Caenorhabditis elegans: one gene and its partner. The protein of the gene in region 1 purifies or fractionates together with the protein of each later gene. This does not show direct contact. Each region holds a gene or a part of one and is shown in the gene's direction. Other genes may lie near its edges.

What was found. The genes of interacting proteins can lie anywhere in the genome.
Region 2: the proteins of lrch-1 (region 1) and str-222 fractionate together in Caenorhabditis elegans (co-fractionation; one large-scale study listed by BioGRID). This does not show direct contact.

The regions. Positions count from the first base shown.
Region 1 is NC_003284.9:6,208,247-6,215,583, reverse strand, and holds lrch-1 (Calponin-homology (CH) domain-containing protein), read left to right. Parts: upstream 1-1,672; 5' UTR 1,673-1,735; coding exon 1,736-1,834; intron 1,835-2,313; coding exon 2,314-2,455; intron 2,456-3,134; coding exon 3,135-3,279; intron 3,280-3,323; coding exon 3,324-3,453; intron 3,454-3,509; coding exon 3,510-3,767; exon of another isoform or gene 3,768-3,829; intron 3,830-3,865; coding exon 3,866-4,020; intron 4,021-4,334; exon of another isoform or gene 4,335-4,456; intron 4,457-4,677; coding exon 4,678-4,762; intron 4,763-5,152; coding exon 5,153-5,378; intron 5,379-5,881; coding exon 5,882-5,961; intron 5,962-6,009; coding exon 6,010-6,205; intron 6,206-6,272; coding exon 6,273-6,478; intron 6,479-6,530; coding exon 6,531-6,605; intron 6,606-6,659; coding exon 6,660-6,779; 3' UTR 6,780-6,823; downstream 6,824-7,337. Other genes in the region: C14F11.7 (EB domain-containing protein), read left to right, coding at 7,086-7,106, 7,155-7,337.
Region 2 is NC_003283.11:1,634,554-1,639,794, forward strand, and holds str-222 (Serpentine receptor class r-10), read left to right. Parts: upstream 1-1,605; coding exon 1,606-1,806; intron 1,807-2,307; coding exon 2,308-2,474; intron 2,475-2,519; coding exon 2,520-2,654; intron 2,655-2,701; coding exon 2,702-2,843; intron 2,844-2,888; coding exon 2,889-3,198; intron 3,199-4,579; coding exon 4,580-4,728; downstream 4,729-5,241. Other genes in the region: irld-17 (Receptor L-domain domain-containing protein), read left to right, coding at 16-382, 948-1,015, 1,063-1,195, 1,242-1,330.

The DNA.
Region 1 (7,337 bases):
CTTTCCTCTACCAAGATTATATTTTTATCTCTTCATTCCGCGTTTTCGTACTGGAACCACAACATTTCTGCAAACTTGACCACTTTGCTTGTCTTACACAAAGTCCATTATCTAATTTCAAATGTTTCGCATCCTTTTGCCGCGCGCTCTTCCTCTTGGCTTCTTCCGTCACCGCGCGGGCAAAAGGCCCAGAAAACTTTCTTTTTTTCGTTGGGACCTCTTCTCTCCTCCTCTTCTCCCACCGAATAAGCTGTGTGGAGCACCCCGCCAGTGTCACATTTCAGTAGTTTTTGGTTGTGTTAATACATTGGAAAAGATGTGCATTTTGAACTGATGAAAGATGAAGATGATGATGACCTGTCAGATATAGTGCTAAGCCATCAATTTGGTGGCAGATTGCTAGACGATTCAGCACACCGACTTCAATCACCTTTTCAAATCTGACATTTTCAATTTTAATCGTTTGTGATTTTAATCGTTAGTGTTTTGTGAGCATACCATTTTATTGGATACTGTAATGAGTCTACTTCAATTGGTTCATTTACTTTCCGCCGACCACGCGCTTTCTCTCGGTTCTGTCCGCCGGGTAACAGTGCCATTTTTGTGACAAATGAGTTTTGGGGCAAGTGGGAGGTGAATACTGAGAGAAATAGAGAAATGACTGGCTCTCACTCGTCGATGTCCATTCGCCCTCGTCGCCAATCACTCTCTATGTTACCATTCCACATAGAACCTTCCCGCGCATTCTCAATTTGAATATGAAATCACTTTTTTTATGTTATCAGTTTCTATTTTTCATTTACCAAATTATAGTGAGTCTCTTTAGGAGATTTGTTAAAAGTTTACACATCTTGCCTAAATGTTGCAAAAAATGAAAGTTTTGATGTAAAACAACTTACATTTTGAGAACTTCTACAAGTATTGCTATATATATTTTTCAATATTTTAATGTACTCTGAAGCTGACTAGTGAGTTTAGTCGTCTTTCACGTCTTTTGTTTCAGCAACAGGGCTGGGCTCAGTATTTGATTTTATTTGTATTTAAGAGTACTATACCAGTGGCGATTTCAAATTTTCCATTAGGATTTCTTTTTCACATTTCTCACTTCCTGCCTTCCTGACGTTCAAATTATAGGGGTCTTTTGATTTTGCAAGCTTTTTTTCTTACTTTTCTCAAACTGTTCTAAAGTATATCAAATATCTAGATTTTTATTCTTCTATTTTCTAGCTACATTCACTATCTTCGCACATTCAAGTGCAAACTAAATTGTTTATAAAATCCAATCATTTTTCCCTCTTTTCGCACTTTCTCTCTTCTTCTCTCATAATCCGTCAATCCTCATGTTCGTTGGCCTAATCCTTTTGTGATCTCGACATCGAGCTCGATTTTCATTTTTTTTTTGTGCTCCTCGGTTTCATGAGCATTTTCATCTCCATTTATAGGCTGAAATGCTTTATGGGTTTTCCAATTGTCAACGACACCTGCCATTTTCTTATATCCGTTCTAGGACTTGTTTCCGTTGTCTTTTTTCCCATGTTTTTGATGGTTCCACCTAACACTCAAAGCGGCACTGCTTTCTGAATTTTTGAATTTTCAGTTTTTTTTTTCAAAAGTGTTTTCCGATTAGAATGCAAATAATTTTGTACTATTTCAAGATGTATTGATTTTTCAGGTAATGCTAACATTTTCGTGGACGGGTAAGCGAAAGAAAAAGAGCGATGCGAGCGATCAGGCAATGGCAGTTTCCAAACATCGCTCCACATCGGACCATGATTCGTCTGAACCGTCTGTAAGCCGCTCCACTACATCAACGGGATCTATCCATTTTGGACAAGTGAGTCTCTAATTGACCTATTTCAATTATTTATTTCATTCCATTCCCGAGTCTCGAAAATGTTTATGTTTCTAAATAGAGAAAACGTTTAGTCAATTCTTTTCACTAAAAAATGCGCCTAATTATTTATCTGCTTTTTTCTCCTAACACTTGTTAGCCGGTGGTGGACACATTCTCTCAACAAGTGTAATATTGTACTAGTGACAAGCTGGGAAACGACCAGTCATAAATCCAACCACAAATTTGTTTTTCCGCAGTTTTTCGCTTCAAGGTTGGGTGTAAAAATGTAAAAATAACTGAACATATATCGGGAGTAAATACCAGGACTGAGCGAAAAAAGGGAATCCCCTGTTTCAAAATGAATGATGAGAAAAAAGTGCAGCAAAGCAAGTGTTATCTATCATTCTGATTCCCAAACGCATTTTTTCTCGACTATGTAACTTTTATGAAATAAAGGGACTTATAACCAACATTTTCAGACAACATCATACACATCGACACTTGGAGGACGTTTCAAGGAAGCTGAATACTCGGGACGTCTCCTACTTCACGGCTTGAGGCTTTCTGAGTTTCCGATTGAAGCTTTCTCGAATATTGCGCTTCTGGACACTGTATTTCTTGGTGAGATTTATTCAGAGCGGGTTTATTTGAGTGACCAAAGGAGCTAATCTCGTAGATAAAATTTGAATAAAATGACTGAAAAATCTTAATTAATTTTTAAAATTTTGACTTTTTCACTGACATTGTCACGTCCCTACAACAATTAATAATTGTCAGTGCAATAACTTGTCAGTGCAAAAATTTGTCAGTGCAAAAAATTGTCAGTGCAAAAAATTGTCAGTGCGAAAAATTGTCAGTGCTAAAAATTGTCAGTGCTAAAAATTGTCAGTGCTAAAAAATTGTCAGTGCAAATTCAAAAAGAAAATTGCTGTAGTAATAGAGAAAAATATTTTATTTATTCGAAAATAATTTTTAATTGTGCTGACATGTTTATAAAATATTTGAAAATTGTGCCAGAAATTGTTATTTTCTGATAAAAAAAAGACATACAAATTTTTTCGGCTCACTGAAATATTTTTCAAACTTTTCAATTTTAATAAAGAAAATAATTTTCTATATTTCTACATTAATTTTTATGATTCAAAAAGTTGATCTTTTCCAGACACATCCGAGCCCAACTTCCCAACAGATAATTTTACCGTTGAGCCCAAAATGGGCTTAGGTATTTGCAAATTCCTATTTCTCGAGCCTCGCACGAATGCCATTCCCATTATTCATATTTATTTTCAACGTATTTCAGACCTCCACGACAACCGAATGTCCACACTGCCAGCTGACTTTTCAGCTTTCGACTGCCTGATCTCATGCATTGCCAGCTCGAACCGTTTTCGAACAATTCCTACGTGTATATGCTCCCTCGAACAACTTACTTTTATTGATTTTAGGTAGAAACAATAGTTACAAAACTAAATTCCACAACTTCTTCCAGCTCCAATGACATTTCTCATCTTCCGGATGGTTTGTTTGATCTTCCACTCAAAGCTCTAATTCTTGCAAACAATAAGATAACATGCATCCCAGAAGGCATTCGACGTCTGGCTCCAACGCTTGCACATTTGGTAAAAAAACCACTAAAAATTCACTAAATCAAACTGTCTAAAAATTAAAATTCCAGGACTTTTCTAAAAACGACATACGAAGTCTACAATCACAACTGAGATACCTGACATCGTTGGAAGTTCTGAAAATCTCCAGAAACCGTGTCGAGGATTTTCCAGCGGAATTGTGTTCTTCGCTGAAATTGCGCACTTTGGATCTCTCGCATAACAATTTATCATACTTGCCGGCTGACTTTGTCAAAATGACTGATCTCCGTTACCTGCAACTAGAATGCAATCCATTAAGAAGCCCATCCATGGATATTATTGAAATGGTAAGTGTCTCCTTTGAACTGAAACGAAAAGCGATAAAAACCGCACATTTTGTGTGAACATGAATTTATGCGGTTCAATTAACATGGGCAATATTCAGGGCATCGTGCACATATTCAAGTGGCTCGATGGTAGAACATCTGCTTGCTCAACTACATCAAATGGCTCAAATGATGTTCTATTGGATCGAAAGCGCACAACGACAGCATCGACGACAATTGTCGCCGAAAAACATCCACCGCATAACGAATCGAGGTAATTATTCGGGGAAGTGGGTAGTGGAAACGGGTTGACATCTCAATTAGCCACTGCTTGAAGAGGAGTAATGGGTTTTGCGGGTGGTGGATAATTAATTCTGACGAGTATGGGTGAAGGTTTAATGAACACAAAAAATAACAAACATTCATGGCAATGAATTTCTACAATTTTGACTGCAAATAATCTAAGAGAACGGGTACTTATTTAATTTAGCCTTAATAATTTCCCCAAAAATTATTCACTGTTCATTTTCTACTCATTTGCGTTCAAATGGCTTAATCAAAACATTAAGTTTGCTTCTTGCATTTTTTCAAATTCAGACAAATTCCCACTCTTACTCCTAAATTTGAAGAAAAGTAAGAATAAACTGTCCAAAAATAAAAATAAAAACTGCATAACAGTTACTCTTTTTTTAGAAATTACAAAAATTTAGCAAATTAAAATTCAATACCGTTTTTTCTAAAATTCTTCGAACTTCCCTATATAATTTTCAAAAATTGGGCATTTGCGCAAAATTTTACAAGTTGTTCATAGTAAATATAACATTGGTTTCCGGACCTTCCAAATCATCCTTTCCTATTTCTCATTTACCATGGTCATTTTCACTATCCTCTGACCTTTTCTATTTTCTACTCCTTTACTAATCGCTTGCAGGGCTACGCGTAACCCTCCTGAACCAGTCAAACATGTTCAACATGACCACCGACCAGTGAACGGAAATCTTAATCATCGACCGAAAGTAAGTTATTGCATGTGTTTTTGTTGACAGCATATCAGCTTCTTTCATTTTGTTAACCGAAACTATAATATTCGCTCCCAACAACTTTTGTTTTCTGGTCCTCGCGACGTTTCTATGACTATGTCTAATGTCTTCTTCCCGACGAGTAACCATCGAAAGGTTTATTTTCCACTTACAACCTGTTCATCTGTTTTATGTGTTAATATTCTTCAGGAACTCACCCTTAGTCAGTATTTATACCCACTTGTTTGATTTTTAACTGACTCAACCATGGACTAACTGCAGTGATAATATGCATGAGATATTTGCGGTTTTGTAATTTTTCCTTGCTAGAATAGCCAACACGAGTGCCACTTTAGTTTTTGAATAACTCGAGTTTTTGGTTTACAGGAATTAGTCGAGTCCCGGACAATCACCTCCGTACATGCAAAATCCCATAATGTACAGATTGTTCAAAACAAGATTTCGTCCGTTCCATCTCATTTGCCAACAAGCAACGGTGGAAAAGAGAATTTACGGCAGAGTACTCCGGATGAGCAAAACAACAACAATAATAACAATAATGATAACGAAAAATCCAAATTAAGCAGCAGCAGCTTGTCGAGTCCTGGAATGGGTTAGTTTTTTCTTCTTTAAGTAGGTTTTGGTTTGCTAAAATTAGTCCAGTAAAATTTCACGTGACCCTTGTTGTTCATAATATGTTTAGGATTTTTTTTTCTAAGCCTCAGGCGCAAATGAATCCCAGGTGTCGATTAGTTTATTATTTTCAAAAGGTTCTTAGAAAATGTATTAGAAATATTTTTTGGTCAGGTATACTACAGAAGTACCGCTAGCCCACTTATTTGCAGGAATACTGCATACATGTATCATATTTTCTGTATTAGTGTTTCACGTTATTACTTTACCTTTAGAATCTACTTGGCTCTTTTTGCAAATATCAACAAGTGTTTTGAATATACAACAAAAAATTCAGAAAAAGTTGTTTGTCCGTTGACAATCGTTTCAAGAGACCGTCAAAGTTTCAAAAATAAAATACAAAACACGGTTTTCCAAAGTTGAGCCAGTCTGCCATCAAACTGACGGCAGCTATTTATTCAACTTTATTCTGGCTTTTTCCAGGTAAAAAGCCCATTTCCAAAGTGGCACCTATGCCAAAACCAACACCCCGCCCAATTGCTACAAATGGGAACGTTCAAACTGTAAGCTTTTAAATAGTGTGCTCCTTTTTCATGAGTATTCATTTTCAGAAAATTGGAACTGTTCGTCGCCCCAATCCGATACAGAGTACAACTGTCACAAGATCCACAAACACTGCAACTGTCAAAAAGGAAATCCCCGTGAAAACTACCAAAATTGCATCCGCAATTTCTCGTAGATCAGAAGAGCCAGCTGCTCAAAAAATTGCAAGCAAACCGATCACTTCAAGTGTGACAAACCTGAATAGTAAGTTATTCTACTTTTCTCTTTTCACTTCCGTACTTAGTTATTCACGCAAAAAAACTACTTTCAGAGTCAGGACTTCGCGCTCCTGCAACTGGTATAGCGAATGACGTGGAGAGTGCAAGAAAGTTGATGAGAGAAAAACTGGGACCAACGTTTTCCCTGAATAAGGGTGACATTAGTTTCAGCTTGCAGTTGTCAGACGGGCAAGAACTTTGCAAATTCATAAATAAACTTCATCCGGAATCAATCTCTCTTGCGTCTTCAACAGATTCGGTAACGTTTTCTAACTAAAAATTAGTGACTTCTAATTTGGACCAATTTTTAGTCAATTGCTACTACTCGATCCAAAATGAACGTCGATAGATTCCTACAGTATTGCAGAAAAATTGGAGTTCCAGAGGTAGCCTATAAAAATTTGAATCTGAAAATTAAATATTATAATTTTTTGTTACAGACCACATTGTGCTCTCAGATGGACATAATCTCAAAAAGAAACCCTCAAAAAGTAGCTCGCACAGTTCTCACCGTCGCAAAACTTCAACAACTTCAATCGTCTAATTCCATTCAATGTTAATCTACCTTTACTCGGGTAGTGATTAATAAACGTTTTCATATCTTATCAAAAAAATGTATAAATCAAATCATACGAAAATCATACGGAAGCTCAAATTGTAGATTTTGGCGAGTATCAATTTTGAAGGTGTCTAAGACCATTGATTTTTCATGTTTGATTTTCGAGAGTTGCATCTTCCAGGGTTTTTGCAAAATTACAATATTCCCATTCCCATCGTCATAAAACATTTCAATTCAATTAGGCAGCTGCTATAAATGGCTTGAGCATCTTTCAACAAAGCAACACAACGTTTTCTGTTCAATAGAGATGTGGTCAAAATCTCTTCAGGTAAGATTTTTTAAAACTATTCTGTCCATTTTTCACTTTATTTTACAGATTGTTCTCTTGATTGCAATTTTCTCTGCAACTGTTCAAGGATGCTTCGATTCTTCAGACTGCAAATTTGGAACCTGTGACATGGTCACACACAGTTGTACCGCTGGTTTTGCACCGATTCAACGAGACGATGAAGAATTTTCAAGTCACAGAGGGCATCGCTTCCGGGGAAGACAAACGAAG
Region 2 (5,241 bases), on another chromosome or scaffold:
AATAAAATTTTTCAGACTATCGAAACAACCAGAGACAACTTTATAATAAACGTGGAAAAAGTTCACGACGACTTTTGTTTCACGCCCTCCGAAATGCTCTTTTTCTTGAAAAATGAAGTGATATTCAGTAAAATTGAAGCGAAAATTTGTCAAAACGTGACGGAAGAGGACGGCGAAGACGATTGTATTTTCGATGGAATGAGCAAACTTGATAACAATTGCAGCGATGTATTAGGGAAAATAACGATAGGCTCTGGAGATGAAGCATATGTTGAAAAACTGAGAAATGTGAAAAATATCTATGGAGGAATAAGGATTGAGAACACGAACTTGACAAACTTGGAGTTTTTGGGGAGTTTGGAATATGTTGCAAGCTTGAATGGTAGGTAGAACATTGAATATATATTTTTTTAAAGGTGGAGTAGCGCCAGTGGGGATTTTGACTAAATGCATTTATAATGATCCAAAACAACCGAATATCATAATAAAACACTCCAAAAAAATTTAGATTTTTCATAATTTCCGATCAAAGTTTTGGCAAATTGCCAAAAATTTTTTAAATACGAGCTTTTGCGGAAATTTAAAGATATGCCGCATTTTTCGACCCCTACAATGTTTTAATACAATCAATTTAAACAAAATTAAAACATAAAAAAATTAGAAAATTTTTTTTTGGTCGACATCCAAAATTATGAGCGACAAAACTGAGTAATTACCACTTTTTGACAATAAATAAAAAAAATTTAAAAATTTTTTGAAAAGTTTTATCATTATATTTGGTCATTTTGGGACTAAAGGAGTGGTTTTTAACAATTTTCCCACTGGCGCTACTCCACCTTTAATAAATTTAACCGCTCATTTTTTAAGTTTGGTTCTTAGTTATTACCCAGTTTTTTAAGTATGAGATTCATGTTTCCAATCCTCCCACGCAGTCACAGCTAATTCAGATTCTGCCGTTCCTTTTCAAATAAGCTCAAACAAGCTTCTACAGAATGCCAGCTTACCCAATTTGAAGGTATTTGCACAATGAAAAACTTCCATTTTTCTCAATTTTAATTTCAGCGAGTATTTTCCACAAGCAGATATCAAATCGGATTTCAAGAGAATGGAAATGATTTTCTCAACTCGACTGCTTGTCTTTTCCTTATGAATCAATTATTTTTGACAAACGTTGTTTTTGATGGAAATGAGTGTGGTAAAGAAGTACTTTGGTACTTTTTAACTAAACAATTCAATTTCAGAAGCCATTGACAGAACCAATCAGAACAATGGTGCCAATTGGATTTTCAGATTGAATTTTTTTATTTTATTGTTATGGGTTTCACTCTAACGTTATTTTCAAAATAATTTGATGTTTTTTTAGTTCAAATAATTCAATTTTGATTTTTTTTATTTTGAAAGTTTTCGTTATTTTTTATTCTGAACACAGCTTTCTTGTTCGGAGAACGTCTAAATTTAGAAATTGAACTAGTTCATTTCCTTGTTTTCCTTTTTTTCGCTTGATTGTTAGCTAAATTTCCCATGTTATTCATTAATCACGGTTGGTTTTGTAGTCGGTGGGCTGCACGAAATTTGCAAATTTGTTAGTGTTCTCATACTGGAAGCATGTTCAGCGGTCTTAAATGGGGAAGACTTTTGATTCATATTCAACAGGTTTCTGCTGCCTTTTCGATTTTAACAAATATATTTTTAATACATCTTATTTTGAACAAGTCGCCGACGCAGATTGGAGCTTACAAGTTTTTAATGTTATACTTCTCTTTTTTCGAGATATTTTACGGAATTGTCGTTGCGTTAACAAGTCCGGTGAGCGCACTATTCAGGTGTTTGAGAAAATTTTTTCCAAATAACATGTCAGCTCAAAAGTATAAGCGACAAAGCTTCAATTTTAACTCCATAAAGGGTATATAGAAATTTTTTTTTTGAAGAGTTGTAATGTTTTGGAGGAGCAAACCCTTCCGGCTCATTTTCGAGATTGTAGTTTTTCTGTAAAATATATATATATATATATATATATATATATACATTTTTTACCGATAGAAAAAACGTTATTTTACTCTATAATATAAATAAAAAGCATTCCGAAAGACTACCAAACCTTAAAATACAAGATCGAAACATCAACACTAAAATCTCAACATTTTAAATTCGCGTCATTTGTTTAATGTTTGAATTCTTATATAGTTGTACTTTAATTTCAAAAATTCAACAGATCATTGTACAAATCGACGTTAAAAAATGGGAAAAATATCACAAATTTCTTGATATATTTTTTGGTTCTTTTACAATCAACAAATTATATTTTAGTTTCACCATACCCAATACGCAACCTATTTGGCAATTATCAGTGCAAAAGATCGTGATTTAAGCCATTTCACACTTAACATATTTAATGCAATGTATTGGGGTTGTTACGGAATGTCTCTCGCTATGTTTGGTGTTCACTTTATATATCGGTACTTGGCAGCCTGCGGGTAAGTATTTTTTAAGTTATCAACTTAATTTTTGTATATGTTCAGAAGTCAGTTAGCAAACTCATTCAACACCTGGAAAATCGTTATCTGGTTCTTGCTTCCTTTAAGTTTTGGAGCAATTTGGTCTTTTGATGGTTACTTTTTTTGCCGGCCAACAGAAGAAGTTACTAACTTCATTAAGTAAATTTCTTCATGATTAAGTTTGAGACGCAATTTTCAATTTTCAGAGACAGCGTTTATGTCACGTTTGGCTTGAAAGAATCAGAGTTTGTTTATCTGGGCCCGAGGATTTTTCAGAAAAACGAAAATGGCATTATACAATTCAATGTAGGACCATCTGCTGGTCTTGGCTTAAATGTAATGACTGTGGTGAGAAAATCAAAATCTTCACAAGAAAACTGCAAAAAGGTTCAGAACATATCGTTTTTAGCAATTTTCTTCTTCGGAATTAAATGCTACTTTTGTATACAGAACATGGTAAAGCAAAGTGCATCTTCGAAAAGTAATGCTCTCCAACGCCAATTGTTCTACGCACTGGTGATTCAAACCCTAATACCAGTGATTTTCATGCAACTTCCCTTCACAATTGTACTAATTCTGTGTATTTTTGATATAAACGATGATGTTATCAGTGGTTTGGCGGTGATGAGTATTGCAGTGTATCCAGCGATTGATCCGCTTCCCAATATTTTCATTATCAAAGACTACCGGAGAGCATTGCTGAGTGAGTTTGATACTTTCTATCATTTTTACACACTGATTTTTTTTAATTTTGAATCCTCTAAAAAATCTGTTCATACCAACTTCATTAACAATTTTTTTTCAAACTTTTGATAGATTGCCGTAAGAGTTGCCCGTAATATGAATATAAATTTTTGAAGATGAGCAATATAAATTTAGAGTTGCCCGTAATTTATAAATTTCTGAAGATAAGCAATTTAAATTTTGAGTTTCCCGTAATTTATAAATTTCTGAAGATGAGCAATTTAAATTTTGAGTTGCCCGTAATTTATAAATTTCTGAAGATGGAAAATTTAAATTTTGAGTTGCCCGTAATTTATAAATTTCTGAAGATGAGCAATTTAAATTTTGATTTTCCCGTAATTTATAAATTTCTGAAAATGAGCAATTTAAATTTTGAGTTGCCCGTAATTTATAAATTTCTGAAGATGAGCAATTTAAATTTTGAGTTTCCCGTAATTTATAAATTTCTGAAGATGAGCAATTTAAATTTTGAGTTTCCCGTAATTTATAAATTTCTGAAGATGAGCAATTTAAATTTTGAGTTGCCCGTAATTTATAAATTTCTGAAGATGAGCAATTTAAATTTTGATTTTCCCGTAATTTATAAATTTCTGAAAATGAGCAATTTAAATTTTGAGTTGCCCGTAATTTATAAATTTCTGAAGATGAGCAATTCAAATTTTGAGTTTCCCGTAATTTATAAATTTCTGAAGATGAGCAATTTAAATTTTGAGTTGCCCGTAATTTATAAATTTCTGAAAATGAGCAAATTAAATTTAGAGTTGCCCGTAATTTATAAATTTCTGAAGATGGGCAATTTAAATTTTGAGTTGCCCGTAATTTATAAATTTCTGAAAATGAGCAATTTAAATTTTGAGTTTCCCGTAATTTATAAATTTCTGAAAATGAGCAAATTAAATTTAGAGTTGCCCGTAATTTATAAATTTCTGAAGATAAGCAATTTAAATTTTGAGTTTCCCGTAATTTATAAATTTCTGAAAATGAGCAATTTAAATTTTGAGTTTCCCGTAATTTATAAATTTCTGAAGATGAGCAATTTAAATTTTGAGTTGCCCGTAATTTATAAATTTCTGAAGATGAGCAATTTAAATTTTGAGTTTCCCGTAATTTATAAATTTCTGAAGATGAGCAATTTAAATTTAGAGTTGCCCGTAATTTATAAATTTCTGAAGATGAGCAATTTAAATTTAGTGTTGCCCGTAATTTATAAATTTCTGAAGATGAGCAATTTAAATTTTTATTTGCCCGTAATTTTTAAATTTCTGAAGATGAGCAATTTAAATTTAGTTGCCCTTATGATTGATTTTCTATGACCGAAAACGTTATTTTCCAAGTTTCAGATTATTTACGCTGGATCAAAAACAGATTCCTATGCAGGAAGCATGTTGTCAGTGACGTCCGAAACGCTTCTTACTACACCGACGGACACACTACTAAAAATGCTCCGAGTGCTCCTAGTCATGTTCCGATAGTTCATATGAATACATGAAATACTTTTTTTAAACCTCTACGCACATAACTTGAATGAATTTATAATGCCTGTTGTCACTTTCAGTTTTTTTTGCCTATAGATCTAATTGTACAGTTGAAGCGGCAAAACCACTCCCATTTTTCAGCTTTGTCTAGACGTGAGCCTCATTTAATGCGAGACCCTCATCTTGGGTAAAGTATTTGGTTAACTTAAAGGTGGAGTACCGAAATCTGGGAAATATTTTCAATTGACTCCAAATTTTCCCTTAATTCCGAATATCTATGTGAAAAAAATTCAAAAAAATTTTCCTGATTTCATACTTGAGCTTCAAATCGCAAATTTCATTTGTGCCCGGTTTCTTTTTTCAAATATAGATATTGTCTAGATAAAATCAAATTATGCAAGTGCGTTCCAATGATAATGCGTTTGGGCGCGCATTTGAAAAATCTCACGGGCACGCAAATGAAATTTGCGATGTCAAGCTCAAATATAAAATCAGGGAAATTTTTTTGAATTTTTTCACAATGATAT